Arabidopsis thaliana: one gene and its partner. The protein of the gene in region 1 interacts with the protein of each later gene in a biochemical or structural test. Each region holds a gene or a part of one and is shown on either strand. Other genes may lie near its edges.

What was found.
Region 2: the proteins of BAG5 (region 1) and CAM1 are reported together in a solved structure, tested with the Arabidopsis thaliana proteins (one study listed by BioGRID).

The regions. Positions count from the first base shown.
Region 1 is NC_003070.9:4,072,326-4,079,572, forward strand, and holds BAG5 (BCL-2-associated athanogene 5), read left to right. Parts: upstream 1-3,900; 5' UTR 3,901-4,008; coding exon 4,009-4,656; 3' UTR 4,657-4,905; downstream 4,906-7,247. Other genes in the region: LRX1 (leucine-rich repeat/extensin 1), read left to right, coding at 1-69; AT1G12050 (fumarylacetoacetase), read left to right, coding at 579-785, 1,161-1,239, 1,333-1,391, 1,484-1,608, 1,705-1,779, 2,023-2,098, 2,217-2,316, 2,400-2,459 and 6 more; AT1G12064 (uncharacterized protein), read right to left, coding at 5,380-5,709; AT1G12070 (Immunoglobulin E-set superfamily protein), read right to left, coding at 6,588-6,659, 6,822-6,946, 7,039-7,247. UniProt on the Arabidopsis thaliana protein: Co-chaperone that regulates diverse cellular pathways, such as programmed cell death and stress responses.
Region 2 is NC_003076.8:15,001,951-15,007,747, forward strand, and holds CAM1 (calmodulin 1), read right to left. Parts: upstream 4,256-5,797; 5' UTR 4,168-4,255; coding exon 4,092-4,167; exon of another isoform or gene 3,980-4,091; coding exon of another isoform or gene 3,935-3,979; intron 3,475-3,934; coding exon 3,397-3,474; intron 3,193-3,396; coding exon 2,819-3,192; 3' UTR 2,577-2,818; downstream 1-2,576. UniProt on the Arabidopsis thaliana protein: Calmodulin mediates the control of a large number of enzymes, ion channels and other proteins by Ca(2+). Among the enzymes to be stimulated by the calmodulin-Ca(2+) complex are a number of protein kinases and phosphatases.

The DNA.
Region 1 (7,247 bases):
TCCTACTTTCCACCGATGCCAAGCGTCTCATATGATGCATCTCCTCCTCCTCCTCCGTCTTACTACTAGTTTCAACCATTGAGTAAAAAAATGCATTGCCTTATGATTAACGAGACTACTCACAATTATATTCTTTTGGCTGCGAGACTTTAATTTGTGTGTTTTGTTGATTTAAAGAAAAAAAGACATTCCAGTTACTTTTTCTTGTAATATTTTTTTTTCTTTTGGATATTATGTTCTTTTTTCCCTAACACAGAGCTGCTCATTAGCAGCAATGGAGTATATAGTTTCAGTTTATTTAATTTGATACTAAAATGTTCTGTATAAATAATAAAGAAAATAATAAATCCTTTCACAAAATCCATTTTTATCTCAAATTAAAATTGAATATTTAATTGAAAACTGTAAAGATGACGTCAACTTCTCAGTCATCATCTCAAAAACGGAAGCTTAAGAAAAATCTATACCTACCACTTCGAACTAACTCTCCTCTCTCGCTTACTGGAATTTGGGGATTAGCTTGGGAAACTTCGCCGGAGATTCATACGTCGTCGTCGTCTTTAGTATCTGTATCGTCAATGGCGTTGCTGAAGTCTTTCATCGATGTTGGCTCAGACTCGCACTTCCCTATCCAGAATCTCCCTTATGGTGTCTTCAAACCGGAATCGAACTCAACTCCTCGTCCTGCCGTCGCTATCGGCGATTTGGTTCTGGACCTCTCCGCTATCTCTGAAGCTGGGCTTTTCGATGGTCTGATCCTTAAGGACGCAGATTGCTTTCTTCAGGTTCGTTTTTCCGATTCCTATAAACTCGGATTACTATGTAGTAGTACCCTGGGAATGTTTCCGTAAATGATTTCGAATTTGCTATTTGAACCTGATCTCTGAAGTTTGCTCCATGGTTTATTGGATAGATCAATCCCGTTTAGCTCGAAAAAAATCCATTGTTCTACTCAATTGCTCGTTGCTTCGATTCATTATCTGTTACAGTTTGAGTTTTCTGTTCACGATTTTGAACTTTTGCAACTATGATTATTGCTTTATGATCTGACGGTATAGTGTATTGCTTACACTTAGTGATGAGGAAAATGAGGTTGTGTTTATTTTCTGGTGTGTTTCTTTTGATGTTAATATTGTTTAGTTTCTGTGCTCTGTTTGCAGCCTAATTTGAATAAGTTCTTGGCCATGGGACGGCCTGCGTGGAAGGAAGCGCGTTCTACGCTGCAAAGAATCTTGTCATGTATGCTCTGTTTGATCCTATTGATTTATTTGGATTTTTATGGAGTTTTGTTATTTGGCTTCAAGGTTTTGGTTTTGGTATGTTTTCATGCAGCTAATGAACCTATCTTGCGAGACAATGATGTTTTGAGGAGAAAATCATTCCATCAGATGGTTAGTAGTGTGAAATTGTTTTTTGCTTAAACTAGGGAAATTGTTTGTATATCTGTTACTTACGTTTATTGCTGTTTGATGCAAATTTGCAGAGTAAAGTGGAAATGATTGTTCCTATGGTGATTGGGGACTATACAGACTTCTTTGCATCTATGCATCACGCGAAGAACTGCGGACTTATGTTCCGTGGGCCTGAGAATGCGATAAACCCAAATTGGTGCGTTTATGTTACTTTTGAGCTGAGAGTTTCTTCATGAAATGGTCAAGTCGAAAGGATGACTCTGTATTAACATGACATTACCATATTTTTCAGGTTTCGTCTTCCCATTGCATATCATGGACGGGCATCATCTATTGTCATCTCTGGGACTGACATTATTCGACCAAGGTTAGGAAATTGTGTATTATTATCTGGTTTTTGGTGGGCTGAGAATGGTTGTTAAGAATAATTCACATGTCATATTTGAAGTCATGCATCATGCAAGGTTTTATGCTTTGACAAGAAATATAGTTTTTTATAAGATATTATTACATTGAAACCAATATTGGCGGATGGTAAAATTTCATGCAGACAAATTAATAATGAAATGCTAATTCCAGTTTTATCTTTGCTTGTTTTGCTTTCTTCCAGAGGTCAGGGCCATCCACAAGGAAACTCTGAACCATATTTTGGACCTTCGAAGAAACTTGATTTTGAGCTTGAGATGGTAAGCATCTGATGCCTCAGTTATGTGGATTTGTTTTACAATGATTCGGTTGATGCTTTTTGGTGCTAGTTAAGAATAACGGCATTGACAAACCTCTCTTTTATCACATGATATTCAGGCTGCTGTGGTTGGTCCAGGAAATGAATTGGGAAAGCCTATTGACGTGAATAATGCAGCCGATCATATATTTGGTCTATTACTGATGAATGACTGGAGTGGTACTCACTTAACTATAGTTTTCGTTGAGTCATCTTTAACCTGACCGGGCATGACCGGTTTTTTTAAATGTTTGTTGTTATAGCTAGGGATATTCAGGCGTGGGAGTATGTACCTCTTGGTCCTTTCCTGGGGAAGAGTTTTGGTGAGATATTTGGCTTCAATACTTTGATTTCATTTCCTCTAGTTGAAGTATATGGGCAAAGAACTTCGGTGAATGTTGTCTTGTTGTGTTGTAGGGACTACTATATCCCCTTGGATTGTTACCTTGGATGCGCTTGAGCCTTTTGGTTGTCAAGCTCCCAAGCAGGTTGGTACTTAGGCATCACATTCTTTTTGTGTCACGCAATCACTGATTCTCTCATGATCTAACTTGTTCTTGGGGCAGGATCCACCTCCATTGCCATATTTGGCTGAGAAAGAGTCTGTAAATTACGATATCTCCTTGGAGGTAGCATTCGATATTGGAGTTTCACTTTTTGGCTTTTTGCTATCAACTATAACAGCTTATGGTGGACTGAACTGAAATAAACATCATGTTTTTACCTCTTATAGGTTCAACTTAAACCTTCTGGCAGAGATGATTCTTGTGTAATAACAAAGAGCAACTTCCAAAACTTGTGAGTTCCTCTATAATCTCCTACCCAATTCCTCCATATAATTAAACAGTTTGGTTCAAACTCTTTTAAACTTATTGTGACAGATATTGGACCATAACGCAGCAGCTAGCACACCATACCGTTAACGGTTGCAATTTGAGGCCTGGTGATCTCCTTGGCACAGGAACCATAAGCGGACCGGTAAACTCTTTTCGAACCAGTTCTCTCGTCTACTATATCACGTGATGACTACACAATAACTCGCAAAATCTTTGTTTCTTGGTTCTAAACGCAGGAGCCAGATTCATATGGGTGCCTACTTGAGTTGACATGGAATGGACAGAAACCTCTATCACTCAATGGAACAACTCAGACGTTTCTCGAAGACGGAGACCAAGTCACCTTCTCAGGTGTATGCAAGGTATCAGCTGATTAACACGGTTTCTGCTTTAGTTTAATTTGCTTTATACCCCAACAACTCCAAATGAATTTCGTTGCATGACATTTCGGTTAACGCTTATTAATCAAATTACGTCTATGATTAAACCGTTGTAGGGAGATGGTTACAATGTTGGGTTTGGAACATGCACAGGGAAAATTGTTCCTTCACCGCCTTGATCAGCTGTCGCCGGTAACGTACCTTTTATAACATTAATAAAAAAAATCCCGTCACCTGAATTGTTTACAGAAAAAATGGAATTGATGGGAGTATCACTTTATTGCAGGAAAAATGGTGAAAAGAAAGATTTCCATAATCACGATTAAGCACTTGGGGATATGAATATTATTAAGCAGATAACCCCAACCCATTAACAATAAGTCATTTCTCGATATTAGTGTAATATGTTACTGAATCTTTTATAAAGAAAGACAACGGAATATTAGTAACTTTCAATATAAAAAGTGATAATCATCGAGTGGTAATGAGTCCTTTAGCAACGGTCGGTCGTTTATACACAAAAACTTTCAATAATTGGTCTTTGCAAAATTACTAGGGAGTTATATTTATTTATACCACATTCACGAGTTATATACTAACGACCACCGTCAAAAAAAAAAACAATCTCATCCATATCAAGAAAAGAAAACAAAAAAATGAAACGTTCAAGAAAATTCTCATCGTCGACAACAACAACCACCGTTATTCACACTTTCTATAATGACCATACTACCCCTCCGGCAACCAAAGAAATCCCGATTGAAACTCCATTACCGGCGACGAAAGCCAACGTCAAAACAAACGCCACCGCCGCAGCAGCGAGGATTCAGTCTGGCTACCGTTCTTATAGGATCCGAAACCTATACAAGAAAATCTCATCCATCAATCGGGAAGCGAACCGTGTACAGAGCATAATCCAACGGCAAGAAACAGTAGACGCCATTAGAAGCGATGAGAAGGAACGTCTGAGAATGAACGAGACTCTGATGGCTCTGCTTCTGAAACTAGACTCCGTCCCTGGTTTAGATCCGACGATCAGAGAAGCTCGGAGGAAAGTGAGCCGTAAGATCGTAGGGATGCAGGAAATACTCGATTCAATCTCGGAGACTAAAGACGAAATTCAATGGTGGAATTACAACGATCTCGGCGGAGTAGACTCCGGACAAGGCGGTGGCGCGTGGCCTTTGTATTGGGAAGAAGCGGTGGAGGAAGAGATGTGTAGAGAGAGAGGCGGTGAGGAGATGGAGAGATTCTGTGCTCAGTATTTGGGTTTCAGATGTTTCCAGAGATTTCTCAGAGAATGACGGCGGTTTAATCCGGTGTGTCGCGGTGTACCGTGTACGATAGGTCATCGTTTGCTATTGTTTTTAGTCCGTTTATGTTCCATTAAATAACGAAAATTTCCACGGTTAATAACGAACGAATTATCTTTTTTTTTGTATGTTATACGAATCTTAAACAATAAATTAGTCTCCAAAGTCTAAAACTCAAATTTGGGTCCATGGTAATGTCAAAATATGGTTTAAAGTGAAATAACTTGTTACTAAAAATTATTTATCCAAATAATTATTGACATTCAAAATTCTATGAATGCGTATTGATCTTTTAGTGTTTATTCATGAATCATAATTCAAAATTGCAAAATAAATAGATTTGATCCTACACTAAAAAATTGCATAGCTAATTTGAAAAAAAAATACTAGTTAGTCAATTCTATCCGATTACTATGTGTGTGTGAGTATATTGACCGGAACAAAATACTTGTGTCATAATCCGGAATCAAATTCATCAAATGTGTGTGTGTGTGAGTATATTGACCGGGAAAAAAGAATAATGTGATATATCTCTTAGATATATGACTATAAATAGGAACTATATACTTTTAGCATTCAACGTATACAACATCAAGTTAAACGACAAAAAGATTCAACATACATATATAACATCAAGTTAAAGAGACAAAGATCCAACATGGTAACATTTAACATATTATTTTACCATCAAGAGAGCATTTACTCGATTTGTTCCTAAGCCGCACAGCTACACTTACACCTAGAAACGCAGCGTTTACACTCCAGCAACGACGGCTTGGCCGCGGTGTCGCATCGACACGTGGTGGTGCACTTCCTCTGAGTAACACCGCCCCAAAGACAACGAGCCATGCATCGGAGCACCGGCACGCACTTAGGGCAGTCGTATTTCATTTGCTCCGCCATGCATGTCTTGCAGCTGTTTTGTGATGGTGGATGCCGGCAGACACCGCCAGAGCCGACGGCCGCGGCTCTCGAAATCAATAGCAAGATTATGAGGAAGATGAGAGAAGAGAAGAGGCTTTGAAGCTTGTAGGTCTTCTTCATGTTGGAATTTGGTTTTGGTTTGTGAGAGAGTTTGGAAATTTATATCTTTGAGAATGTTATTGTCTTTATTTATATAGAGGTTTTGTCATGATATACAAAAATATTTCTGTTGATTAGATTATTATCTAGTGACTTCCACAAGAGTTAAAGACGAGATTGATAGTGCAGTACACCAAGATGCATTTAAGTGAGGCATTCATTGTTCTTGAAGTGTACAATTTCCTTAAATGCGCTCTTCACTCTTTTTTTATTTCAATGATATGTTAAATATATATATTTCCGGTAACAGAATGAAACATTTTTTTAAAAAACCAGATGAAAATATAGAATATACAAAATGAGTTTTGGTAAACTTGTAGAATGAAACAATTAAATAATAATATATATATGTGGCAAACTGAATTTAGTTTTGAAAACGGTATGAATGAAACAAGGGTCAAAACATTCGTAGAATTATTTTTAGTAAAAATATCCCAGTTTCAACCGAAGAACCTACTAAATTTCTTTTAGGCTTTTTCTTTATATTTAGAACTCTCCAAGGGAAAACCAAACCAAGTTAAGTTTCAAAATTTAGTTTTATATAGAAGTTTTGGACTATGAATAAACGAATAAGGGAATCTATAACGATGACGTACGTAGTTCATCTATATACATGCACATGTAACAAAATCTGTATCTAGCTAGTTTGAAAAATAGAATAAAATCCGAAAATAGTAACTTACAGAAATACAAACAAGCATATTGTCTATATCAAGTGAGATGAAGAATCATCCAAAAAAAGTTAGGCGAATAACGATATGAACAAATTTAAATTGAAGAAACAATAATGAATAATATTATATTTTTTTCTCTTCTTCCAGTAACTTTTGTGATGGATATCACAGCCAATTTTTGCGAATGTCGAAGGTGTAGTTGTTCTCCAAGTAGCACTGATTATCATCATCGACGAACTGAAAAATAGATACAAGACAATAAGTAAGTGATTTAAATAATCCATAAAATAGTCTACAAATTAATAAAACTCTAAGACAACATATTTTGCTAGATGATGCATACATACTTACATATATTGTAACTAAACTAAAAAAATGTAACTATTAGATTTTTGGTACCTTAGATTTAACAGAATAAGAGCCTCTAACGAGTAGACCAGAGGGTGCCGTCTCTTCAAACATAACATGAGTGTACGGTTCCGCCTGTGGACTAAACGTTCCTAACATCTCCTTTCTACTATACACTGTTCTCCACAAAGTTAAAGAAAATAAATTAGACAACGGCTTCTAAAATGTGTGTATTTGTGGTTAGCGAAAGTGTAAAAGATAAAAATACCCTTGATTCCGGTCTTCCAAACTGTATTGCTGTATTGGAGGCCGGACACAATGTTGTTGGTGACACGGAAAGTAAATATGAGAGTGTACTTAGAGCCTTCTTTGAGAGTGAACCATGGTCCTTTCGAAGCCGGTTTTCCGTTTTCAGGGATCGTTAATACCATGTCTTCTCTATCCGGTGACCTAATTGTTAAGGTTAGTATCTTTACC
Region 2 (5,797 bases), on another chromosome or scaffold:
ATCTAGGAGAAGAAGATCTAGACTCATTAGCTCTCCGTTTCTTTTGAAATTGCGAGCTTCCCACATTCTCAAGAGGCGGACAGTTATATGTTGCATAGATGATCCGATTGTAAGCTTGTCTACAGCGATGGATTGAAGAGGTGCTACTGTAGTTGTTGATTGTGTTGTTGCCATAATGATCGTACGTGATTTTGATCTTTGAATCTGACAAATGAAAGATATGATATTAGTTTATTCTTATTTACCATTAGTTGTTGTCGTTAATAAGTTGAAGTTTATGATTCCAAAAAAATAAAGTAAAAGTTATTGAGAAGAGAGACTTACTTTTCTAGATACTCTTACGGTGGTTACAAAGATTAAACTATTTTGGTAGTGAATATGTGTCATATATATATAAAGATAAATATTTACATTATGTAATATTCTAGTTGGAATGATTAGAAGTTTGAAAGAGTATTTATTTTTCTTAAATGGATATTATTGTTTAGAAATGGGTATATACGTTATTCTGATTGGGAATTTTTGTAGGGTTTTTTAAACGTCTAGATTATAAATGAGTTAGTTAAGTTATAATCGTGCGTATTTGATTTATTGTGGATTTATTTACTCATTTTTAATACCACATGATGGGTTGTAAGTTTCTAAACATTCATACTTTAAAAGCATCTTCAATGGTAGTTTTTAATCCTAAGTCTCTTAAAAAAAATAAAGTGTAAGTATAAATAAATAATATTTTTAATTATGGGTTTCTTAAATTTGGTGAAAGTAAGACAAATTATCTCTTAACTAAGAGACAATTGGCCTATATTTCATCAAATTTAAGAGACTCATGTAATATTTAAATCATATATATTTTTTATTATTTATTAAAAAACATTTTTAGAAACCCCCATTGAAGGTGTTCTAAGGCTCTGGAGCGTCCATTCTTCCGCTAATAACTTGAATAAAGTAATACAGTTATTAATTCTAAATGAGGTAAATTTTGTTCCTAAATAAACATGACATACTGATCGAATATATATTTTATATATAATTTGTGTTACACTCCATACTAACAAAACAATACATTTTCTTTTAATTGTGGATACAATGTGTTTGAGTTTTTTTTTGGTCTTTTTTTATAATTACTTCTGATATTACAATACTAACAGGTAACTTTTTAGTTATGACGTAAGATAATTGTTTGTTTTTAAGAACTTATATCAAATGGCGTAATTTTTTTGACAATAGTATAGTGCATAGTTGTTCCCACATTAACTTAATTTTTTTATAGTTTAAATATGAGTTGTAATGTGTGTGGATAATGCAAGTATAAATTACTGTGACGCCACGAAGGCTATTGTATTACCAGTGCAACATAGTGAAGGAATGATGAAAGAATACTATTGTATTTATTTTTGTAAGATCATTCCTTCTTGGAAAATACTATTGTATTTTTCAACAAGTGATGAAGGAATGAAGCAACGAATTAAGGAATTCTGTTTAGAAAGATGAGAAGATAGATATATGATGAGTGTGATATGAGATTTATGTTAGAAAAATAAATTGATATGTTAGTCATTGGACAATTATACCTTCTCATCTAGCAGGAAGAGTGAGTTTTCAAGGAATACATCACGGTCGTTGGCAGAACGTATTTCCGGTATGAACTTCCCACATTCTAACAATACGGCCAATTCTGTTACCACAACATTCGAATTTTTCTAATACATGTTGAGAAAAATATTATGAAAACATTATGGTAATATACCGTAAAAATTCCCAAAAATGTACTCATCATATTCTCTACCCAAATGCCTAAAAAAATAAAAGAAGATATATTAAATTAAAAAATATAGAAAGAGTGATGGTTGAAGTTCTGACTTATGATAGGTTCATATGTTGAATTAATTACTAATTATGTATTACTTATTTTAAGAAGTGTAGGTGGCAACCTCTCCTTTCATGTGCTGATGTGTAATATTGTGGGAGAGAGTTGAGCTCCTGTCATATATATGATTTCTCACACTTTTTGGGAAATAATGTCTTAATATAAATTTAAATAGATCGAATACTTAATTATATAGTCTAAGTATAAATAACAAGTTACTAAAAATATGAATGTATTGTTCAAAATCTTAATTTAAAACTTGTCTTGAAATTTACTACTTCACGACAATTTATGGTGGCCAATGGCATAATACCAACCTCGTGTTTTTACATGTGTCATTTTCCTATTAGTCCAACATCAATTTTCAACTTGGTATCCAAATAAATAATACACTAAAGCACTTTATACTAAAACTAATTGACAAAAGAAAAGCACTTTATACTTAAAACTAAATTTTCAGCGACCTCTGTTTGTCGTATGAAAATTAAAAGTTTGATTAGACACAAATTTGGAAGTGATTGCCCGCGAATCATTTTCTTTGTGGCTAACGTACACACGTATAGAGACGTACAGTTCAGACGAGTGGCTCAAATGATTAAAACAGTAAATCAGAAAGAGAACATTTTAATATAACTATAATTTTAACTAGTACTTAATTTTTTCAGCTTAAAGCCATATTTTTCATCTCTATTTCTTATCTTCTTCTTTTTTTGTAAAACCAAAAAAGCAACAAAATGTGGGTAAAAAGTAAAAACCCAACCCATCGGTTTCAATCCAACTTACTTGATTTTCCATTACACACAAAAGTCACAAACCAGAAAATCAAAAGAACGAAAAACAAATTATGTCTGTTTAAAAGCATATCTCCACCAATCATGCAAATGTTTTTGGTTAAACTCCTAGAAGCATAAAAAGGTCATCATCATCATCATCATCACCTTTATCAAATCACTTAGCCATCATAATCTTGACAAACTCTTCATAGTTAATCTGACCATCTCCATCAACATCAGCCTCACGGATCATCTCTTCCACTTCTTCATCAGTTAGCTTCTCACCAAGATTGGTCATCACATGGCGTAGCTCAGCAGCGGAGATGAAACCGTTCTGGTCTTTGTCGAAAACCCTGAAGGCTTCTTTTAGCTCTTCCTCGGAGTCAGTGTCTTTCATCTTCTTAGCCATCAGGTTCAGGAACTCGGGGAAGTCGATAGTGCCGTTTCCATCTGCATCAACCTCGTTGATCATGTCTTGGAGCTCAGCCTCTGTTGGGTTTTGTCCTAGTGAACGCATAACTGTTCCCAGCTCTTTTGTTGTGATGCAACCTGTGTAACCACAATTAAGAGAGCATTACATTTTAGAACCCATCACATATTATACTCAAATGCTCAATGGAAGCAATGATAAAGCAGTTTTGTCATGGGTAAAAGCAATGATAGATGCAAAAGCGAATGAACATCTTTTGCTTATCTCTTAAAGAGTGAACAAACAAATCTACACAAATTGAGCTACTATAAGCAGGATATAACCATGAGACAATTCAGGAGTAGTTTCCAAACAATTTGATAATCTTTTGAAATCAAATCCTAGATCAGAGAGAACAAACACTACATCAACTAGTATAACAAACAACTCAGAAATCAAGAGAAAATCTGAGCAACATGACCTTGAAACCTACCTAGAGAGATCAAGAAGAACCATCAAAGCTTCTAAAAGATTCGAAATCACATTTAAGCACATAGTTTTTTCCCATTCTTTGGTAGAATTGTTGAGAACACAAAAAAAAACTCAGATAATTAACAACTTCGAAGAAAAAAAGATAGCAGATTCTTTATCAACTAAGAGCAAACTCGAAAACACATACGACCAAAACAATCATGGAAGATGAAAAATCAAACAAAACGTAAGAGACGAAAAAATAAATCAGATCCAAGCTAGCAAATCAACGAAACAGGACAACAAGCAAGCTATTAAATCGATTCAATCATATACAAAAAGCCATCGAAGATCAAAAAGCGAAACTACTCGGTCAAAGATCAAAAACAGATCAAACGACAAGGTCAATACCTCCGAATCTAAAGAGATTAGCGACTAATAAACACATATTCAAAGCTCGGGAGGACGAGATACACCGTTCTAAATCATCGATAGAAGACGAAAATGGAAAAAAAACCGAGATCCAGTAATGTAACCATCAAAGGCGTAAAAGAAGAGGTAATCTAACCATCGCCATCTTTGTCGAAGAGGCTAAAAGCTTCCTTGAATTCGGAGATCTGTTCGTCAGTGAGTTGATCCGCCATAGCTTCTTCGAGAAATCGTCTTTCTTCTCTTCCTTTGTCTTTACTTAATGAGTTTTTTTTTTTTTTGGATTCAGAGTCGTCTCTCTTTGAAAATGATGCAAACAAATATCTAAGCAAAACGACAAAAAGAAGGAGAAAAGGTAAGTCGGAAAAATTCCAAACAAAAACCCAATTAATTTTTAATTTTTAGAAGAAAATACATATATTAATAAAAGTGTATAATTTAATACCAAAATAATTAAAATATTATTACTTTTATATTTACTACTTTAATAAACTATGAATTTTTCGTTGATATGACATTAATTTTATTTATTTTTTAAAAATTACTTTTAGTAATATTTTGTTTCTATATTATAAAAATTATTTTATTTTTAAAATTCACATAAATAAAATGAGCAAAAGAAATCTTAATAAATTTTGAAAAAGATAATGATATTGTGAACCGAAATATTAATAAAAAGTTAGCTGATGTTGATATACACAATGTAACTTAGTTGAGGTATAAAAACGTACCGTTGAGAGGTTGAACTTCACTTTTTTCCGGAAGATGAATATTCGGATTATTTTAACTACAACATAAACCACTTTCTACAAGCGCTCTCACGCCTTTGGCTCACACGATTGTTTTCTAACATCATTTGGCTCACGAAATATGCTTCACAAAGTTTACTTGTGATGATCCATCACAGCAGACAGCAGTCGAGCGTTAAGAGAAAGATTGCATGTCGTACATGTACATCATGTATTCATGTGTGAAAGATGCCAACAGTGGTCGAAACACAATTATCATCAGAAAAATATTACTCGAGCAACAATACTTTTCTATCTACGAGTATGTGCTGCTCACTCTCCATAATATGGAGCTAATATTGATCATAAGGCTTGAGCGAATCACCTATCACCAATACCTAAGATTAGGTGATAATCTTAATTAAGCTATTTGTCTTTGGGCCAGTTCTACACGTATTTGGGTCACTACAAAAGTTTGAATAGCTTGAAATCCTTAATACCATGGAAAATGAGGTTTCTTTTCTTCTTCGCACTACCATCTCTTCGGCATATCTAAAAGATACCTCGTAGGCTCGTATACAACTCTAAGACCAAATTTAATAAATTGTTGGACAAACCTTATTCTAATTTTTGGGTAACACGATTGGAATCAACAAAACCCTATTCTTGATTGTCGAAACTTACGTACTTAATTAATGTAAGAAAGAAAAAAAATATCCAAGTTCATATAGGTTACAAAGAAAATAAAAAAATTCCAACACAAATAAAAATTAAATTTTTAAAATTCATAATAAAAAAAATAAATTTCAAAACTAAAACTAGATAAAAATAAAACAAAACCAAGGAAGAGAGTAATAAGCTTAAAGAGACACAACACAATCCCAACGAGGAAGCTCTTGACAAGGTCAAAGGAACATTCCACCCATACATGAACACATGCTGACGGAGATCTCGAGCATATTTTATCTGCGAGAAGTAGATTCCGTCTTCCCTAGCTTCCCATACGTCTCCATGGTTAACACCAAAAACTTGGTGATGCTTGAAATTAGGTCCTTGCCATAAATGACACCAAAAATAGTCGGAATCATCATCAACTAGCAGATGGTACGATCCTGTT